4 linked regions of the Drosophila melanogaster genome follow. Changing the gene in region 1 together with any one later gene gives a genetic interaction. Each region holds a gene or a part of one and is shown in the gene's direction. Other genes may lie near its edges.

Region 1 (5,598 bases):
TGTATATACATATATAAAGAATAACCTTCAACTCCATGCCATAAACAAGAAAAGTGCTCGCGATAAACCACGAATACTTTGCATGCAAATAAGATTCCGAATATATGCAGAGAATAATCAAATTTGGCCAGCTGGAGAGACTAGCTACTTTCAATTGAAGCCCCACATGTGGGATGCAGGGTTTCCCGCACAAAATGAGGACACTTCTAAGTGGGGTTAATGCTTTATTGATCGGCGTTATGTGCCAAAAAGCTGCACCCATCCAACCATTCCCTCACATAATGGTCTCCTCCTCCAGCATGTACTCCGTGAGATCGGCTTCGCCCGACAGCATGGTCACCGGCACCCGGTTCATCTGGGCCACCCGTTGACTGGGCCAGACCATCACGTCGCAACAGTTGGTCAACACGACCACATTGGTGCTCGGCGTGTTGGTGCACATCAGGTTGCCGGCCTTCTCCTGGTCGCACTTGTTGAACTTGCGCCGGAAACGGAACTTCACGGGCAACGAGTTGCCCATCACGCTCTCTTCATCGAAGTACGGCGGCAGGGATTTGTTGAAAGCCGGATTTGTGATGGCCGGCTTGGTTAGCTGATAGATGAGTGGAGTAACATCTAAATCACTGAAGCACATTGAATGTACAGATCACTCACCTCTTCGAGAACCACGGAGGTCTTGAGTCGGCGACAGGGATCACAGTAGTCGGAGGCCAATGTGTTCTCCGGTGTCTTGGTAGCACATGGATCCGGCTTGGGTTCGGGCACATTGGATCCCAAACCACTACCATGTGGCCCACTGTCACTGTCACGTTTACCCTTCGGATTCATGGGATCCTGGCCGCGCAATACGCATTCCTGCAGGAACTCTTCCTCGATGTCGATCAGTTTCTTGATGGCACAGTCCCGCTTCAGGAAGTTCTTGATCACGGACAGATTGCGGGGCACGGCGCCGATAACGTCGAAGTCATCGCTACGGAGCTGGAGGCGGTGCGCCATGACTTTGGTTCTCCAAGATGAATGGAGGGGCGGATGGTTGGAAGGGGGTTCGAATTTGGGGGAGTAGCTCGTTTCGAGTGGAATGTTTAAATGAACTACAACTTGACGTCTGGCCCCAAGTTGAGTGGGTTTCAAGGATATGCAAACAATAGTTGAGATTAAGTTGGCGCCAAGGATAAAGTGCACGTTTGAGGGCAAAAGCTTGGTACACTCTATTTAATAATATATATTAAGGGTAAACGCTACACTTATCCCAATAAGGTAGCTTTACTTTCCTAACAAGTAAATTGACCTACCACCCAAAGCTAGTTTTTAACATTTGATGGCACTATTTTCGTGGCTAGTGCTGTAGTTCTATCGCCTCCTGGCCGAGCAACAAGTTCGTGCGCGGTTTTACAGCCACTGGATGCCAAACCGTGGGCCTGCGCTCAGCTCGGTTTAGTTCCGCTCACTTAATCTCCGGCAAGCGAAACTCGGAGCAGAGCTTGCCCGTTGGATGGTCTGTTGGCTATTGATTGGAGCTTTCCGCCGCTCAAAGCTCCGCTCGAGAGGTTCTTATTGCCACCGCTGGCCACAGCAGCCACCAGAAGAGCAGAGCCACCCGAAGCGCCAACACGCGAAGACAAAGTCCGGCAGACAGCAGCGCAAAAAGAGACAGATAGCAGTGAGAAAATCATCGAGGAAAAAAGATTGTGTGCTAGCCGTCAAATTGAGTTCCATTCGAGTGGCAAACAAACCTGAGTAGCCGCACCGCCATGAGCTTTACCCGCCAACTGTCCGAGATGAGTGCCAGCGAGCTGAACGATGCCATCGACGACACCAACTTCCCGCAGGCCCACATCCTTTCGCGCGGACGCAACAACAGCGTCTGCTCAACAAGTAGCACCTCGGGCACCTCCTCGCTGGCGGACAGGCAGCAGAACCAGGCGGAGGAGGCCACTGCCATTGCGGGCACACCCGTCGAGGAGGTGGCGCCAGCTCCTGCTCTCGTCCCGTTGGCCGGCAACCAGAGACCCCGCCTCATCCTGAAGACCAACGGCAGCAGTCCGGATAGTGATGGTACACAACCGAAAACACCACTGACACCGCGTACATCGACAACGCCAGGTAGTGGTGGGTAGTGGTCCAGGACCAGGTCAGGGGATCCAGAGCTATGTTTGCTGCGACCGATTTAGTTAGTCAATGAACTAGGAGGAGGAGGAGTGCTTGACAAACTCTTTTTGAGCATAAACCGTACGCCTATCAGTGGGTTAGTGTTTCGGTTCAGAGGTCAGAAGATGCGCCTCGGAATGGGGAATAGTACTTAGACAGCCACACACAGCCAACGAAGGGGGGCAATGCCTTCCTATCTCGCATGATAACGATTCTCATCATGTTTCCATCCGTATTTCCATTTACAGGCCACGAGAAGTGCACGTTCCACCACGACCTGGAGCTGGACCACAAGCCGCCGACGCGAGAGGCCCTCCTTCCGGACATGGCACGCTCGTATCGTCTACTCTTGGGCGGCCTGGGCGAGAATCCCGATCGCCAGGGACTGATCAAGACGCCGGAGCGGGCAGCCAAGGCCATGCTGTACTTCACCAAGGGCTACGACCAGAGTCTCGAGGGTAAGCACACCACACATTTCAAGCAATTAGCACCGGGTCAGTGATCGAAGTTGCTCATCCTGGTTTTCCCAGCGAGTGGGAACTAGTTTCATGTCGGTGAATCACCATTTACGGGGGTTCCTCGGTCCGCTATGGTGCATTAGCCTAATTACCTGACCACTCGAGAGATAAAGCACATGAACATAGGGAGCCATTAGGCAATTTCGGGCTTGTCCAATCAAGTGGACGCATCCAAAATCCATTCAATATCCTATGAAATATGAGATTTGACTAGTAAAGTTTTTGGTCTCATGTTTGGCGTGCATTTCGACTTGCAGTCGCTTTTGAACTTGTCATGTAATCAATGTGAGTCGTTTGAGAAACAAAACAGAATTGCGAATTATATGGTTGCTACACCAGCATACCTAACCGGTTGCCCGAGAAATCAGGTTCTACGGTTTGTCAAATAAAATCGCATGTAAATTTAAGATCAACAGCAACAGCAGCAGGCCATTTGAAAGCTAAATTCGTTGAACGAAAGTGAATAGCCTTCGGCATCGGCAATAGAATGGGTTGGATTGTGTTTAACCCGAATTCAAAGAACCCAAGAAGCCGAGCCAACGTGACTTGCCAATCTGGTGTTGGGGGAACTCCACCCCCCTCCCCACCACACACACAAGATGCTTGTTGGATTGTTTGTTAGATGGCTCACTGGCTACTTGGCTACTTCTTGGCTTCTTCGCTGGTTGGTCAGGAAACGCACTGAAGCTTTCCGGTCTGTATATTAAGAGCGGTAAAGTGGGTGGGTGTGCGGTGCGGCGGCGGCTTCTATTCAAGGAATGGGAATCTCAAGAGCACATCGTTTAAAACGAGTGTGGCGAAAGCTCACACTCCACAAGAACCATAAGCCCATCCAGTCAAGTCAAGTCAAGTCAACCTCCCCCCAAGACCCGCAACCTCACACACGCACACACACACACAAACACTCGCTAAGCAACCACTTTAGCACTCACAGTCGCTTGAACTTAACATTCAGTATTCAGTTATGCAGCAAATAAATCTAACACGAATTACGCGCGCCATAAATCACGGGTAGCGAAGGAACGCCACTTGAGTAGCTTCGTGGTTGTGGGACATTGGGCGAACTTTTCAATAACGACTCCGTGGCGCAACGGTAGCGCGTCCGACTCCAGATCGGAAGGTTGCGTGTTCAAATCACGTCGGGGTCAGGCGATGATGAATTCCTTTTTCGTACTTTTTTTTTACTACACCATTTCAAATTTTTTTTAATAGATGTTCTCAATGGCGCCGTTTTCGACGAGGATCATGACGAAATGGTGGTGGTCAAGGATATTGAAATGTTCTCCATGTGCGAGCATCATCTGGTGCCCTTCTACGGCAAAGTTTCCATCGGTTATTTGCCGTGCAACAAGATTCTCGGACTCAGTAAATTGGCACGGTAAGATAAACTTAGTAATGCATATTAGATGATCTTTCATATAATTTGCGATCCCATAGCATTGTCGAAATATTTTCGCGTCGCCTGCAAGTCCAGGAGCGCTTAACTAAGCAGATCGCAGTGGCCGTGACTCAGGCCGTGCAACCCGCTGGAGTAGCAGTGGTCGTAGAGGGAGTGTAAGTATTAAATATATATACATATATATTTTAAAGAATATTATAGTTTAACGAATGGCTTTCCTCCTATACAGCCACATGTGCATGGTGATGCGTGGCGTGCAGAAGATCAACAGCAAAACTGTTACCTCAACTATGCTGGGCGTGTTCCGAGACGATCCCAAGACCCGTGAGGAATTCCTGAACTTAGTCAATAGCAAATAGAGTGGGCACTAGAGGACGCTACTGAAATCCGAGACCAACTAAACCCCTACAATATTTTTGGAGGCGCTTATATACAAACAAACAAAAATGAAACGAAACACAGGGTCCATTAGTTTATGTTTTTAGGATTGATTTCATTTAGTTAGTGCAATGATTGCGCAGCCATTTTCCTTGTTGATTTGTGTAAAAATTGTTGAAAAATTTTGTTAGCAAAATACGTTTTTTAGATAGATGAATGTAATGAGAAGCGAGATTCGAAGAGGACGAGATTTGAATACCGGTGTTGGGTAGTTTTATGTTCAATTTTATATGCAGTTTTATGGCACTTGAACGATAATTTTTACAACGTATACATACGATTAATGCATTGTGCAATAAGGGAACAACTGATAATAAATCACGGCAAATTGTTTAGGGAATTTACAATTTATAAACAGTTCACATCAAATTAATCAGATCTATAGTTATGTATGTATGTTAACCTATATAAAGAGTTGCATTCATAATGTTCCTCGACAGGGACCAAAGTATATTGGAAGATTTTAAATGTTAAAATTATATGCTCATTATGTAAATGACGTTGCTTGTAGTGAGTCAAAGCTGCTTATTAATTATACAATAAATTATGTATTTAAATAACGTTAAAATGAAGGATTTTTTATAAAATGTATAAAAAAAGAAATATCCCAAAAACAACAGGAGCTTTCTCGAATGACCCCGACGTGATTTGAACACGCAACCTTCCGATCTGGAGTCGGACGCGCTACCGTTGCGCCACGGAGTCTACTGAAATGGAGGCTACTAAGTGACAGGAATCCCCCAACACCAACAGGTTGTTGGTTCCAGTCGTGTAGTATCCATCATAGTGCTTTGTTTGAAATGCAGCAAGAGCATCGGTGGTTCAGTGGTAGAATGCTCGCCTGCCACGCGGGCGGCCCGGGTTCGATTCCCGGCCGATGCATAATTTTTTTTTAAATTTATTTCGTATATAACGAATCAAAAAAAAAAAAAAAAAACAGTGTAAAATATGATTCAAAGAAATAAATATAAATATTTTTTATTCAACTTCTTAGTTTGATAAATATATAATCTATTACTTGCAAATCCTACTGTGTACCTTTCGTTTGGACCCAAAATTATTGGATAACAATTTCACAATAATTTAATAATGAAG
Region 2 (3,189 bases), on another chromosome or scaffold:
CGGAAACTTTTCACCGTGAAGAGCCGCTCTTTTGGTCACCGATGCTGCGCCAGGACTGAGTCAGTATTTTTGAATACTTTCTGTGTCTAGAACGTTCGCTTTTCACCCTTTTATTGACTTTTTTGTATCGCGCTTCTACGGAGTAAACGTAACTAAACTGCTTCTTGCTAGTGCTGCACAATTTGTACTCTAAACGCGTTGGCAGCGCCGTTTCATCGACTCATAGTCCATCGATAGCCACGTCATATCGATTACTTGTAGTTTTGGTATTACCAAGTACTGAGTGTATGGCCACATTGCGACACCACACGCGGCCCGTTGCAGTTTTTTATTTATAAGTCCACACCGCATACAAATGGTTTCGCAGCAGCAAATCGAGGCCATTGGAGGCGTTCTGAACAACAAGGAACGCCCACTGAAAGAGCGCTTTCGAGCCCTCTTCACGCTGAAGAACATCGGCGGAGGAGCGGCCATCGAGGCGATCAGCAAAGCCTTTGACGATGATTCGGCCCTTCTCAAACATGAGCTGGCCTACTGCTTGGGTCAGATGCAGGACGCACAGGCGTTAGACATCCTCACCAAGGTGCTAAAGGACACCACCCAGGAGCCGATGGTGCGCCACGAGGCTGCGGAGGCCATGGGCGCCATTGGTCATCCAGATGTGCTGCCAATTCTGGAGGAGTACAAACAAGATCCGGTAGTGGAGGTGGCCGAAACATGTGCCATTGCTCTGGACCGCGTCCGCTGGCTGCAGAGTGGCCAAAAGGTAGATGACAGCAACCCTTACGCCTCCGTTGATCCCTCACCGCCAACTGCGGGCGACAAGAGCGTCACCGAGCTGAAGGCCATCTATCTGGATGCCCAGCAGAGCCTGTTCGATCGATATAGGGCCATGTTCAGCCTGCGCAATCTGCGCACCGAAGAGAGTGTCTTGGCCATTGCCGAGGGACTTAAGGACTCTTCCGCCCTCTTCCGCCACGAGGTGGCCTTCGTACTGGGCCAGCTGCAAGAACCCTGCAGCATTCCCTTCCTTCAAGAGAATCTGGAGGATCGCCTGGAAAACGAAATGGTGCGTCACGAGTGTGCCGAGGCCCTTGGCGCCATCGCCACAGAGGACTGCATTCAGATCTTGAACCGCTACGCCGAGGACGACAAGCGCGTGGTCAAGGAGAGCTGCGTCATCGCCCTGGACATGTGCGAGTACGAGAACAGTCCGGAGTTCCAATATGCCGACGGCCTAGCCAAACTAGACGCGACCAAGTGATTTTCGCCGAACATTTGCATCTACCAGCTGTGTATATATTAGTCGTAAACTTGTATTGTTTTGTCACTTCTGTGATCACATGGACCTAATCTTATCGAGACATAAAAAGAAATTTGAACGTGACTTCCCTGTGGTTTTTGATTAACCTGCTGGATGGATGAATCAACTGGTGGGAATGCTGATGCTAATGAGTGCCTAGTAACTATCCTAGTTTGACGGGCATTTTATCATCAACTGTGGGCAACTCTTTGTTTTTTTTTAAATGTTTTAATGTGTCTAGTAATTAAAAATAATACTATTGAGTTTTCGTTATTTTTGCTTTAAATTATTCGATGAAATGCATTCAGAATACATTCTGAAATTCAAAGTACAAGGCGACATGGCAGCCCCATTTGAGCGGTTATAAACTGAAAAAAATATGAATACTTTAGCAATGCACTCAAATTTCCGCTTTGGAATTTAAATAACAAGTATTTTCCTATCCTTTAAATCGCCCAACAAAAACAAAAACTCAAGAACGCGGCTGGCTGCCCAGTGTGACCACTTGACGATTTCCCACAATTCACCTTGCCGGCATTTCGTATTCGGGATTTTTTTGCAACGGCGAACACATGAAGCTCCTGATGCTCGGCACAATTTTGGCATTCTTTTCTGTAATCTCGGCGACAATGGCGGCTAACAAGGAGAGGACTTTCATCATGGTCAAGCCCGATGGCGTCCAGCGCGGGCTCGTCGGCAAGATCATCGAGCGCTTCGAGCAGAAGGGCTTCAAGCTGGTCGCCCTGAAGTTCACCTGGGTAAGCGGATAATTGAATTAGGAAGAAATCAATAGATATAAATACGTGGAAACGGGTTGCCCCACGCGGGGTTGCCATCGGACCTAACCTCAAAGGCTGGGTGCAGGCGTCATCGCGGAATGACATGTGTTTAGAGGTCAGAACTGCAATTAACTGATAACGAACCGTTTTGTAACCAGGCCTCCAAGGAGCTGCTGGAGAAGCACTACGCTGATCTGTCCGCCCGCCCCTTCTTCCCCGGACTCGTGAACTACATGAACTCCGGCCCCGTGGTGCCCATGGTGTGGGAGGGTCTGAATGTGGTCAAGACCGGTCGCCAGATGCTCGGCGCCACCAACCCCGCCGACTCGCTGCCCGGCACCATCCGCGGTGACTTCTGCATTCAGGTCGGACGCAACATCATCCACGGCTCCGATGCCGTCGAGTCTGCCGAGAAGGAGATCGCCCTGTGGTTCAACGAAAAGGAGCTGGTCACCTGGACCCCGGCCGCCAAGGACTGGATCTACGAATAGACGGCTACTTTAACTGTCTGCCCTCGTCTAAGCTGAATACAGATTGATTCTTCTAAAGAAATAAAATTCCACAATAATTACTATATAATCTTGCTTCTTTATAAGGAGTGTGAGCTTTGGAAAGGTTTCTATGATATTAAGTTAAGGATAGTCGATAGCCTATCCACTGAGCTGTAGGCTTTGTTGGCGGTAGCACCCATCCTCTGGGTATAGAGGAGCCTCTTCCACAGTAGCTTATGTAAGAATCCCATGTGGAGCTGGAAAAAGCGATGCAATTAAAAGGGAGCTCCCGCCGGACAATGCATTTCCCTAGACATACCGAATTTCAAGAAATTTCCCCTTATTTAATTTGGGAGTTGGCAAGGATCGGCCGAAGAACACAGCCTTCCATTGAGATTCAAGTGAAGCCACCTTCTTGGACTCCTTGACATGGCCAGCTTGAGTCTCTTCTTGGACTCTGCGCCAAACAAGACGCATGTGGGTCAGTTTTTGGCAAAGGGCGGCTCTGTCTCCTCCACGAGACTCGCAAAGTTTCTCCAGAAGATCAAAGGTCTCCAAAATGGAGGCAGCATCGCGTTGTTTTCGCAGGGATATGTGCTTCGCTTGTTCCAGTGCG
Region 3 (3,580 bases), on another chromosome or scaffold:
TGCTACATGATTGTCCTTGCCCTTTAGATACTCTACTGTAAAATTATATTCCTCTAGTTCAAGCCTTATTCTAGTTAATTTAGAGCTGGGGTTCACCATCGAGAATAAATATGTCAATGGTCTATGGTCTGTTTTCACAGTGAAATGTTTTCCGTAAATGTATGGTCTGAAATGTATTATTGCCCAATGAATTGCTGCTAACTCTTGTTCTGTTGTACTCTTATTGCTTTCACCTTTCGTAAAAGCTCTGGATGCATAAGCAACTGGGAGTTGGTGGCCATTATGGTTTTGAGTTAAAACTGCGCCACACGCTTGCTTGCTTGCATCTGTTGTTATGCAAAATTCTTTGCTGAAGTCTGGGTACTGCAAGAGTGTTGGGTTAATTAGCTGAGATTTTAAATGTATGAATGCTTTTTGACATTCATCTGTCCACTCGAATGGAACATTCTTTTTACATAATCTTGTTATGTGCCGCGAATAGTCGGCGAAATTTTTGATAAAACGTCTGTAGTAATTGCAAAATGCTACAAAACGTCTAGCGCTGTCCGCATCATGTGGAACTGGGTAGTTCTGAATGACATCATATTTTTTGTCATCCGGCAAAATTCCTTTGTCTGTGCATTTGTGTCCCAAAAATGTGACTTCATGCATGAAAAATGAACATTTTTCAGGATGTAACTTTAGGTTGTATTCCCTGCATTTACCAAAAACTTCAGTGAGGTTTTTAAGCATATGTTTTTCGGAACAACCTATGACTATTAAGTCATCCATATAAAGGAATGCTTGAGACGGTTCTATTCCGGAGAATGCTATAGTCATCATTCTTTGGAATGAATTAGGCGCTATTTTTAAGCCAAATGGCAATCGCGTGAAACGATATGAGCCATTGCTGGTTGAGAAAGATGTTATATCTCTCGAGCCTTCATCCAGTTCGATTTGATGAAAACCTGACATTAAATCAAGGCAGGAGAAATATTTTGCTCGACCAAGTTGGTCCAAAATATCATCTATTCTCGGTAGTGGAAATTTGTCAGCTAAAAGTTTCTTATTAATTTGGCGATAGTCTATTACTAATCTCCATTTCTTTTTATCAGAATTCGGGCTTGACTTTTTGGGTACTAATAGCAAAGGGCTATTGTACTGTGAAACTGATGGTTCAACTATTTTATCTTTTATTAATTTCTGAACTTGGGCTTGTATTTCTTCCACTTGACTATGAGGACTTCTATAATTTTTCGTGTATACTGGCTCATCATCTTTTAATCTCAACTGTTGTTTATACAAATTATTAACTGTTATAGGTTCTGATTCTAATGCAAATATATCTATATATTCGCTGCATATATTTTCTAATTGTGATTTAAACAATTCGGGGAAATTTTTCTTTAATTGAGATAAGACAGTTTTATTTCTGTGTTCACTATTTGCCTGAACTACATTGTAGTTCGAAAGTGGCTCATATTTTAGAGTGTCCATGACGTAACGCGACGACGACTGGTGGGACTGAGTGGAAAACACAGCTACGGCGCGTAACTCTGGTCTGGTGGAAATGCGGCGCACGAATTTCACGCATTTCCCTTTTCAAAAAAGAGCAGCGAGCAATGCGTGAGCGAGACGGGTAAAGTTGGCGGCGAACAGCTGTGGAATACCAAAAAAAAAAAATACCAAATAACGCCTTACTCACGACAGTGTGACCTTGCTGTGCGTTTTCTGGTCATCTTATTGATTTTCCACTTGTTGCTGCTGCTGTATCTTTTTGTAGCGAATAAAAAGCTATATCTGCACGCTGAAGCTTAAACTCGACTTGAAATTCATTCTCCCGATTATTACCGGTAGAACTGGTCTTGCGGTTAAAAACCCCAGCTGCGTTCAAAGCTCCCGCACGATTTTGACTCACCAAAATCGGTGTTCTCGTGTTTTTCTCGCATTTAGTTAAATTGCAACTTTAAAACTGGCAGCACGCATCATGTCCGCAGGTCGAGTGGTTATTTACGGTGGCAAAGGAGCCTTGGGTTCGGCCTGTGTCGATCACTTTAAAGCCAACAATTATGTGAGTTACCTTTCACTTAATTATTAAATACAATTGCCTCATTATCTATTGTTTTCCCTCGCGTCAACTACGACCTTCACCTGGATAATCCATCAGTGGGTTGGCAGCATCGATCTGACGGAGAACGAGAAGGCCGACGTTAGCATTGTGGTGCCACGCGATGCTAGTTGGGTGGAACAGGAGGAAACGGTGGTGTCCAAAGTCGGGGAATCCCTTGCCGGCGAGAAACTGGATGCCGTCATCTGCGTGGCTGGCGGCTGGGCAGGTGGTAATGCCAAGAAGGATCTGGCCAAGAATGCCGATCTCATGTGGAAGCAGAGCGTGTTGACCTCCGCCATTTCGGCAGCTGTGGCTGCTCAGCATCTAAAGGCCGGAGGCTTGCTGGCTCTCACTGGAGCTAAGCCCGCTTTGGAGGGCACACCCGGTATGATCGGCTATGGAATGGCCAAGGCAGCTGTCCACCAGCTGACCCGCTCGCTGGGCGCTGAGAAATCCGGTCTGCCAGCTGGTTCCCTGGCTGTGTCCATACTTCCCGTAACTCTAGATACACCCATGAACCGTAAATGGATGCCGGATGCAGATTTTGGAACCTGGACACCGCTCACCGAGGTGGCCGGACTTTTCCTTAAGTGGACCCAAGATCAGGAGAGGCCCAAAACTGGATCCCTGTTGCAGCTGATCACCACAAACGGCATTACGCAGCTTATCGCTGCCGAATAGGCTAAGAGATACAGATACGAATCCAAATGACACTTAATGATGAAACAAAAATGCTCAAAAACCATAATCTAAACGCTTTCGCTTGTACATAAACTATTCATAAATAAATCGCTGGGCGGCTTTCGATCGTTTAATGTGGTTCTGCTTACACGATTTGGGTGGATAACCTCTTGAACTCGGGAGCTTAACGAGCGTTTAAAGCTTGCTTAGAGTACAATCTTTAGTTTGCTTAGTTTGGAAATTGTTTCTACGACTTCTTCTTCTTCATAATCTTCATGAATAAAACCATACCTGTAAATTGAAAGGGTAATAAACTCATTAGTATAATTAAGCAGCAACAATCGAACTGCAATAAATCGAACCAATTAAGAAATGTAATTTCAAACTGAGTCACGGCAAACTTGTTTATTTGGCTTAAGTGAAGTGACTCGCAGTGTTTTCGTATTCAGTTTAAATACAATAATAATAGCAATGGAATCTAATATCTATTTATCTGTTTTCGTTCTTATAATGAATATTTATAATATTGTGATTAACATATTCAGGAAACTTGGTTTATAAACGTGTTTAAATGTGTGTTGTTGAGTTGGATAACTTAAGGTATATTTGTTAAGTAAATGAATTGGGATTTTCCAAGAGGGGTTCTTTTTTGCAGCTTGAACAAAACTTCCACAAAATACAATGACTCACCTATAAAAGTGGCAATTACGAAGGCAATCATCAGCCACAGCCAGCACTTGTAGGCTTTTTTCGAATGTTGCTCCAGTTTCTCAGCCTCTTTTCCTAGCGAATTGATATTGCGATCCGCCA
Region 4 (7,741 bases), on another chromosome or scaffold:
CGCAACATTTTTACCAGCTGCCTGCAGCATGCCCCCGCCATTGTTGTGCTAGAAAACTTGGATGTACTGGCCCACGCTGCTGGAGAGCAGTCCAGTCAGGATGGAGAGTACTACAATCGCATGGCGGATACTGTGTATCAGTTGATTGTTCAGTATACCACCAACAACGCTATTGCAGTAATCGCCACCGTCAACGAGTTGCAGACCCTCAATAAGCGATTGAGCTCACCAAGGGGAAGACATGTCTTCCAGACTGTTGCTCGTCTGCCCAATTTGGAACGAGCAGATCGAGAGATAATTCTTCGAGAGCTGTGCAGCCATATCAATGTGGCCAAGGACCTGGATCTTGTTAAGTTCTCCAACCTCACGGAGGGCTACCGGAAATGTGATCTTGTTCAGTTCGTGGAGCGTGCAATATTTTATGCTTATCGCATAAGTGAGTAGTTTGTAGTGTTAGTAAGCAACTTTATCATGTTAAATTCCCTTTTTTCCAGGCAAGACCCAGCCTCTTCTGACCAATGATCAGCTTATTGAGTCCCTGGAGCACACAAACTCGTACTGCCTGCAGGGCATTCAGAGCAATCAAAGAACTGGCAATGATGCCGATGCCAATGAAATGCGCGTCGAGGAGTTGCCTGGCCTGGAGTCAGTTGTGGGAGTTCTGGAGGAGGTCCTTATGTGGCCATCAAGGGTGAGTTTTAAACGAAATATATGTTTTTTTCTAAAATTTAATAAATCATTAATTTCTTACAGTATCCAACCATTTTTAACGCCTCTCCACTGCGCAACCAGGCCGGAGTACTTCTATATGGGCCACCAGGAACAGGTAAAACCTATCTGGTCTCTCAGTTGGCCACATCGTGGAACCTGCGCATCATTTCCGTCAAGGGTCCTGAGTTGCTCGCCAAATATATTGGTCAAAGCGAGGAAAATGTTCGAAACCTGTTCAATCGAGCTCGCAGTGCCCGACCATGTGTGCTTTTCTTCGACGAGTTTGACAGCTTGGCGCCGAAACGTGGTCACGATTCCACGGGGGTCACCGATCGAGTGGTAAATCAGTTGCTCACAGAACTGGATGGCGTTGAAGGACTGCAGGGAGTTACCGTGATAGCAGCTACCTCCAGACCGGAACTGCTAGATCCCGCGCTTCTTCGATCCGGTCGCATTGATCGCTTGGTGGAGTGTCCTTTGCCGGATGCTCCGGCCAGAGTACGTATATTTGAAGCACTCAGTTCAACACTGAGCCTTGATGAGTGCGTGGACTTCGATTGGTTTGCGGGAAAAACTGCAAACTACACTGGCGCCGATATCCAGAGCATCCTGACCTCGGCGAACATGGCGGCGGTTAAGGAGGCGCTAGCTCAATTCGGACACGAGGTGAGCTGGGAATTATTTTCACCGGAAACAATCTGCTTTATGGGTCATGCAAGCTTTCAACCGTTTCTTTCATGTTTTATTGTTTCTCATCCTGATTTCAAATGTAACTTCTATGTAAAAACTCCTTTACGTGTTTGTCTTTTAAATCAAAAGTGAAATCTATGCTACTTCCTGCAACAATGATTAGTCACGTAGTTCTTAGTCTCTGGCCACAGTATAAAATACCATTTGTTTCTTATTGCTTTCCCAGAAACTGGCAAAGAAAATTTCCTTGAAGCAGAAGCACCTGATTGAGTCGTTCCAAACCACTCGTCCTTCGCTCAGCGCCTCCGATGTGGCCAAATATCACAGAACGTACGTAACAATGTCTTCTTTGTTCTTCTGTTCTTCTTACCTTTTTAATTATCTCTTGGTAGGTATGCTCGCTTTACCAACAAGGAGAAGACTTCTAGGGAGTTTGTAGCCAAGCGTGCGACCTTGGCTTAAAGACAAAGACTTATAAGCTTAGCATTATTATTATTTTAAATTGTTTTTTGCATATTTGTACATCTGGAAAATGGAACATTTTGTTGGAAGACGCAAGTCTTAGGTAGTACATATTTCATAATTTTTCTTGTTGAAAAATAAAAACCAAATTTCTTTTATGATTACTTCGTATAAATCCATATACCACTCCGGAGTGTTAAATTGAAAGAATATTATATTTTAATTATAATGTACATACATGTATAAAAAAGAGAAAGAGATGTTCAAATTTAAGAACTAATATCTTTTCGCATTCTGACCTCGGTAAACATGAGTGCTGTTAAGGGGTGGCTCCTTAACAAATGAAGACATCAGGTGAGTTTGGTTATTAATTCACCGGAAATTGTGTTTAGCTATAACAAGTTTTTGATAGCTAGTTTGGATAGTATGTCCCTCCTTTTCGTATTTCCCAACTGTTTCGCATTTGTTCCCATAGCCCCTAACAAGTGCATCAAAAATGCATTTAACTATTTTTGGGTAGATTACGTGCCCGGCATCTGGATCTGGATTTTGGCCTATGCGGGAGCTAGCTGCTGCCATGCCACATGCAGCAACTGAGATTTTTGGATATCAGTCACGTAACGGATATTTCCTTATTGATATGCGATTACCGCGCATGCGCACGTACTGCACACCACTAAGACAATGGACACATTTTCTTTTGCATAAATTAAGCCGCCAAGCAAACAAACAGGGAGGGAACCCGAAGGCCAGATAATAAAGAATTTCAACGAGTCGAAGCCACCGCAAACATGCTTAGAATAAAACCAACAAGAACCTAGCAGAAGCAGCAGCAGCAAACCAGCAATAAAAAGAAAGGAAACCGCTCAGGAAAACTACCAGCGAAAACAATTGCAACATGCGGGAGGGAGACCACCTCGATCAGGTAGCCGTCCGAACCCATACCATCCCATCCGAAGACCCTGTGCCCAGGATCCTAGCAAACATTATCGCAGGGAACCACAGATATCCACTCGTTTCGTATCGTATTGGATCGTATTGGATCGGTTCGGTTCGATCGGCACGTTCGGATCGTTCGTATCGTACCGCGTAAAAGTTTCTTCCGTTTCGATCGTTACTTTCAGTTGTTTGCGCACATTCAAGCCAATCGGTTGGCTCCTTCCACAAACTTTACGGATTACGGTTAGTGCAACGGAAGTGAACCCCCCCCCCCCCCCCCCGCCCAACACCAGCTACCCATCACATATTTCTTTTCATTTATGCCTGGTAAAGGGAAATAAAAGTTGGCAACGAAGCGGAAATGCAAGGCGCCTTCCGCTGCCCTCTTGCCGAGTCTTAAGATTTTTATACAAGCCCCAACCGCGATTGACAGCCGAATAAACATAGTGACAATGTTTTTTGCAATCTTATTTGCCTTCTCCGGCTCCTCGAAAATAAAAGACAAAGAACGTGATTTTTTTGGTCAAAGATTTGGGGTTGTGGCATGGCAGAAAAGAATTGTGTTCCCACTGCGAACTGACAAGCAGCAGTGAAACCAAAATAAAGCAAAAAATAATTTAAGAGTGAATTGTTCCAGCAGTAAAATAAATACAAATCTTTCCAAGTGCAGCCAAAAGATCATAAACCACAGATAAATAAAAACAAAAAGTCTGCAAAGTAACCAAATGTTAAAAATAAAATTTTAATTGAGACAAAGAAACGTGATAAAACTGATTCATACATAATTAAATAAACACCAATGAAATAAATAAGAAAATAAAATTAAAGTGATGTCAATTGTATGAATGAATAATTTATGTCTTGATCCAAACATTCCTTTTACATTAAGTCAATGTTTGCAGAAAGAAAACTGAATGGGGAGTTAATACCCAGGGTTCCAAATAAAGAACTTATTCTATTCTCGATATAGCTGATTGACCAAGTTGAAATATCAAATCGTTCATGCATTAGATTTATACGCTCGATAATAATTCACAAGATAAAAAGGTGTGAGCTAAACGGTTTTGGCCATGTGCGCTTGTGGCTTAAAATCGAATCGAATAATATTGAATGAATGACAAACTGAGAAAAAAATTAAATAAAAATAGCAATAATACATACTTCAAATACAGCGATCGACTCGTATTTGGCAACAAATGAGAAAAAAAGGAATTGAATAAATTAAAACCTGCGACGCGTGTGCATACATACATAAATCGGGCCTGAAGTCAAACGGCTAGCGGCTAGCGGCAATATCGGCTAAAACAACAACAACAATTACTGGCAGCACTAGCACCATATTAACAACAACAATGACAATCGCAACGGTTGTCCCAAGCCTTACAAACAATAAAATACTTTTCATTAAACAGCACAGTGGTCAAAACGATTTTATAAAAGTTAAAAATATTTTAATTTTCTGATAGAAAAAATAGTCGAACTATGCTATGCCCCCATTATTATCAATATTTTCTAAACTTCGTTTAAAACTTTACATTTTGTACAAAGCTTACATTCGCAGACAACAAGTTTGGGAATTTACCCTATCATCATTAATCATTGAACTAAAAATTGTTTATTTTTATTTGGCAAACATTTGACGAACCCAAGTAGATGGAATACCCACTGTCCTATACCCTTTACGTGATTATACTAAAAATTAATTTTGAAATAATTATCTGCTATTAGGATTTTCGAGCAGTGTTATTCAGTGTTTAAAGCATAACTTTATTATAAATATACCTTTTAATTGATTAAAATGCTGAGCTCATATTGCACAGAGAATTTGAATGTTAATTAGTTGCTATTTCAGATTGTGGCAAATCATTTAGGTATTTCTCGATTTGTTGTTGCAATTCTCTAGCACCTTGTCTGTTTGTTTTGTAAGTGCAAGTATAGTACTTGGGGAATAACTGAAAAGTGTGACACCACTGTAACAACTGATTTCAACAAATAGCTAAGTGATTTTCTAACTGTTCGGCATTTAGTTGAATGGAAATCGAGGAGCGCAGGCCGCAGCAACAAAAGCATTTGGCGAACGTCGAATATAGACAAGTTATAATGGAGATCCCCTTCGGTAGTGGGTGGCGACGAGTGTGTCCGGCAATTCGGTGGCTTCGACCACGTCTTCCAGCTCATTACGAAGGCAGGGCACACAGTTTTCGTTTGTTTCAGTTGCTTCTCCTTTGGATTTTTGCATATCGGTGCGGACAGACTTGACTTGGCTGTGTGCCGTGTTGGCAATAAAATATTAAACAATAATAATAAATAAATAAAATGACACAGATCGGGAACTAAGGGAGGGGCAAAAAGTGAAGCGGAGATTTGGCAATATTTATTGATCCACTTATACAGCTGCGGTCAAAAGAATAGTGGCACAATAGTGGTATTCAAGTAACGAATAGCTAATAATATTTGCATTCATAACTTCTTAAATTTAGTTAAATTAAACAAAATTCCAAAGTGTTATTTTTAAAGTATAATATATCAATCAATGCCATGTAATTCATATATTTAATCCTTTCCTTTAGCTGGAGAACGCTCGATTTGAAATCGAGGAACTCGAATGAAGATACCCACAGGAAGTGATATTATTTCGACCGCAACTGTAACCCATATGTACACGATCGTGCCCATCCAGATACGAGATCTTGGTGGCTGTTGAACTCAAGAGAATCCACTTGAATCATGGCAAAAGTGCCGATCACGCTGGTGATGATCATTGCGATCGTCTCTGCCGCTGCGGACCTGGGATGCGATTATGGCCATCATCGTTGCTACATCGATGTGACTGTGGAAAACAGTCCCCGCCAGCGCCATCTGCTCTCCGACATGGACATCACGCTGCAGTGCGTCCGACCCATGGCCAAATGGTTCTATGAGGATAAGTTTCAACTGAGGGCTACCCTTTTGCGACTTGAACGAGCACAGTCCGGAAATTCTGGAAACTACGGCTGCCTGGATAGTCAGAACAGATGGTACAATATTTCCCTTGTTGTTGGCCATAAGGAACCAGTTGGCAATGATATCGCCAGCTTTGTCAAGTTGGAAGATGCACCGGCCCTCCCGGAGTCAGATCTCTTTTTTCAGCCCCTGAATGAGAGTCGATCCCTGAAGTTGCTGCAACCCCTACCCAAAACCGTACAACGGACCGCAGGTGGCCTTTTTCAGTTGAACTGCAGTCCCATGGATCCGGATGCAAAGGGTGTTAATATATCCTGGCTGCACAATGATACTCAAATCCTTGGTGGACGTGGACGCATTAAGCTTAAAAGGTGGTCATTAACAGTGGGGCAACTGCAGCCGGAGGATGCTGGAAGCTATCACTGTGAGCTGTGCGTGGAACAGGACTGCCAAAGGAGTAATCCGACCCAATTGGAGGTGATAAGCAGAAAGCACACGGTGCCCATGCTAAAGCCCGGATATCCCCGCAATACCAGCATTGCCCTCGGGGACAATGTGAGCATTGAATGCCTACTTGAGGACTCTGCCCTGGAGCCGAAGATCACGTGGCTACATAAGGGGAATGCGGACAACATCGATGACCTCTTGCAGCGTTTAAGAGAGCAGTCCCAGCTACCTGTGGATGTTACCCGATTGATTACCCGAATGGATGAACCGCAGGTACTTCGTCTTGGAAATGTCCTGATGGAGGATGGCGGATGGTACATATGCATAGCCGAGAACCAGGTTGGACGCACTGTGGCCGCCTCCTATGTGGATCTTTACAGTCCCTCAGATACTACCACAGTTCGCACGACCACTACTACCACCGTGGCCAGCCCAATACCCACTGCATCCACCGGAGAGGACAACGATGACGACGTGGAAAATCCAGCAGCGGAAGCATCAGGCGGCGTTGGTCCACCTGTGTTCAGAAAAGAGCTGAAACGATTACAGCACTCATTATCGGGAAATACTGTCAATCTAGCCTGTCCAGTGTACGGCAAAGCGAACATCACCTGGACGAAGGACAAGAAGCCGCTAAACCGTGAACTCGGCGTCTATGTGCAAAAGAACTGGACACTCCGCTTCGTGGAGGCCACCAGCGAGGATTCTGGACTATACAACTGTAAGGTGTGCAATGCGTGGGGCTGCATCCAGTTTGACTTCAGTGTCCAAATAAACGATCGCACGAGATCCGCACCAATAATCGTGGTGCCGCAAAATCAGACGGTGAAAGTCAATGGCAGCTTGGTGATGAAGTGCACCGTCTACTCTGATCTGCATCCAACAGTCAGCTGGAAAAGGGTTGTCCTCAAGAATGCCTCCTTGGACGGCCTTAAGTCTGTGGAAATCCAGAATCTCAACTTCACCGTGACGAATGACTCCGTAGTTTTAACGCTTCGTAATGTGACCTTTGACCAGGAGGGCTGGTACACCTGTTTGGCCTCAAGTGGTCTGGGAAGGAGTAACTCCAGTGTGTACCTTAGGGTAGTGAGTCCTCTGCCACCTTTGGAGATCTACGCCCTGCTGCACGCCCATCCTCTCGGATTCACCTTGGCCGCTATTACGATAGTGGCTTTGTTCCTTTTGGGCAGTGCTTTCATAACGTTCATGCTGCGTCGGCTGAGGAGGGAGAAGCTCCTGAAGCTCCGCATCGAAACGGTTCATCAGTGGACTAAAAAGGTGATCATATACCGACCGGGTGGAGAAGAAGGAAGTGGCTGCAGCTCCGGCGATCTTCAGATGCCAGTGATAAGGATCGAGAAGCAGAGAACAACCGTTTCCACAACGGGAACTGGCGGTACTGATCCCGCCCAGGGCTTTAATGAGTATGAGTTCCCGCTGGACTCAAACTGGGAGATTCCCAGGCAGCAGCTTAGCTTGGGCTCCATTTTGGGTGAGGGCGCCTTTGGACGCGTAGTGATGGCGGAGGCGGAGGGGCTTCCCAGGAGTC

Evidence for each region.
Region 2: of Pu (region 1) and awd, changing one enhances a phenotype caused by changing the other (phenotypic enhancement), as found in Drosophila melanogaster (one study listed by BioGRID).
Region 3: of Pu (region 1) and Dhpr, changing one enhances a phenotype caused by changing the other (phenotypic enhancement), as found in Drosophila melanogaster (one study listed by BioGRID).
Region 4: of Pu (region 1) and btl, changing one suppresses a phenotype caused by changing the other (phenotypic suppression), as found in Drosophila melanogaster (one study listed by BioGRID).

The regions. Positions count from the first base shown.
Region 1 is NT_033778.4:21,177,542-21,183,139, forward strand, and holds Pu (punch), read left to right. Parts: upstream 1-1,576; 5' UTR 1,577-1,751; coding exon 1,752-2,103; intron 2,104-2,396; coding exon 2,397-2,606; intron 2,607-3,742; exon of another isoform or gene 3,743-3,814; intron 3,815-3,878; coding exon 3,879-4,044; intron 4,045-4,103; coding exon 4,104-4,220; intron 4,221-4,294; coding exon 4,295-4,424; 3' UTR 4,425-5,067; downstream 5,068-5,598. Other genes in the region: CG4286 (uncharacterized protein), read right to left, coding at 275-592, 655-996. UniProt on the Drosophila melanogaster protein: Isoform B is required for eye pigment production, Isoform C may be required for normal embryonic development and segment pattern formation.
Region 2 is NT_033777.3:31,744,642-31,747,830, reverse strand, and holds awd (abnormal wing discs), read left to right. Parts: upstream 1-1,753; 5' UTR 1,754-1,887; coding exon 1,888-2,061; intron 2,062-2,240; coding exon 2,241-2,573; 3' UTR 2,574-2,659; downstream 2,660-3,189. Other genes in the region: nero, read left to right, coding at 356-1,264; CG1896 (uncharacterized protein), read right to left, coding at 2,710-2,830, 2,893-3,189. UniProt on the Drosophila melanogaster protein: Major role in the synthesis of nucleoside triphosphates other than ATP. The ATP gamma phosphate is transferred to the NDP beta phosphate via a ping-pong mechanism, using a phosphorylated active-site intermediate.
Region 3 is NT_037436.4:9,132,841-9,136,420, forward strand, and holds Dhpr (dihydropteridine reductase), read left to right. Parts: upstream 1-1,719; 5' UTR 1,720-1,966; coding exon 1,967-2,050; intron 2,051-2,146; coding exon 2,147-2,770; 3' UTR 2,771-3,017; coding exon of another isoform or gene 3,018-3,061; 3' UTR 3,062-3,076; downstream 3,077-3,580. Other genes in the region: Use1 (unconventional SNARE in the ER 1), read right to left, coding at 3,018-3,061, 3,461-3,580.
Region 4 is NT_037436.4:14,074,083-14,081,823, forward strand, and holds the start of btl (breathless), read left to right. Parts: upstream 1-1,731; intron 1,732-1,793; coding exon of another isoform or gene 1,794-1,863; 5' UTR 1,864-1,966; exon of another isoform or gene 1,967-2,041; intron 2,042-2,982; exon of another isoform or gene 2,983-3,045; intron 3,046-5,372; 5' UTR 5,373-5,529; coding exon 5,530-7,741. Other genes in the region: Pex1 (peroxin 1), read left to right, coding at 1-436, 495-691, 754-1,377, 1,628-1,731, 1,794-1,863. UniProt on the Drosophila melanogaster protein: May be required for patterning of muscle precursor cells: generation of mesodermal and endodermal layers, invaginations of various types of cells, and CNS formation.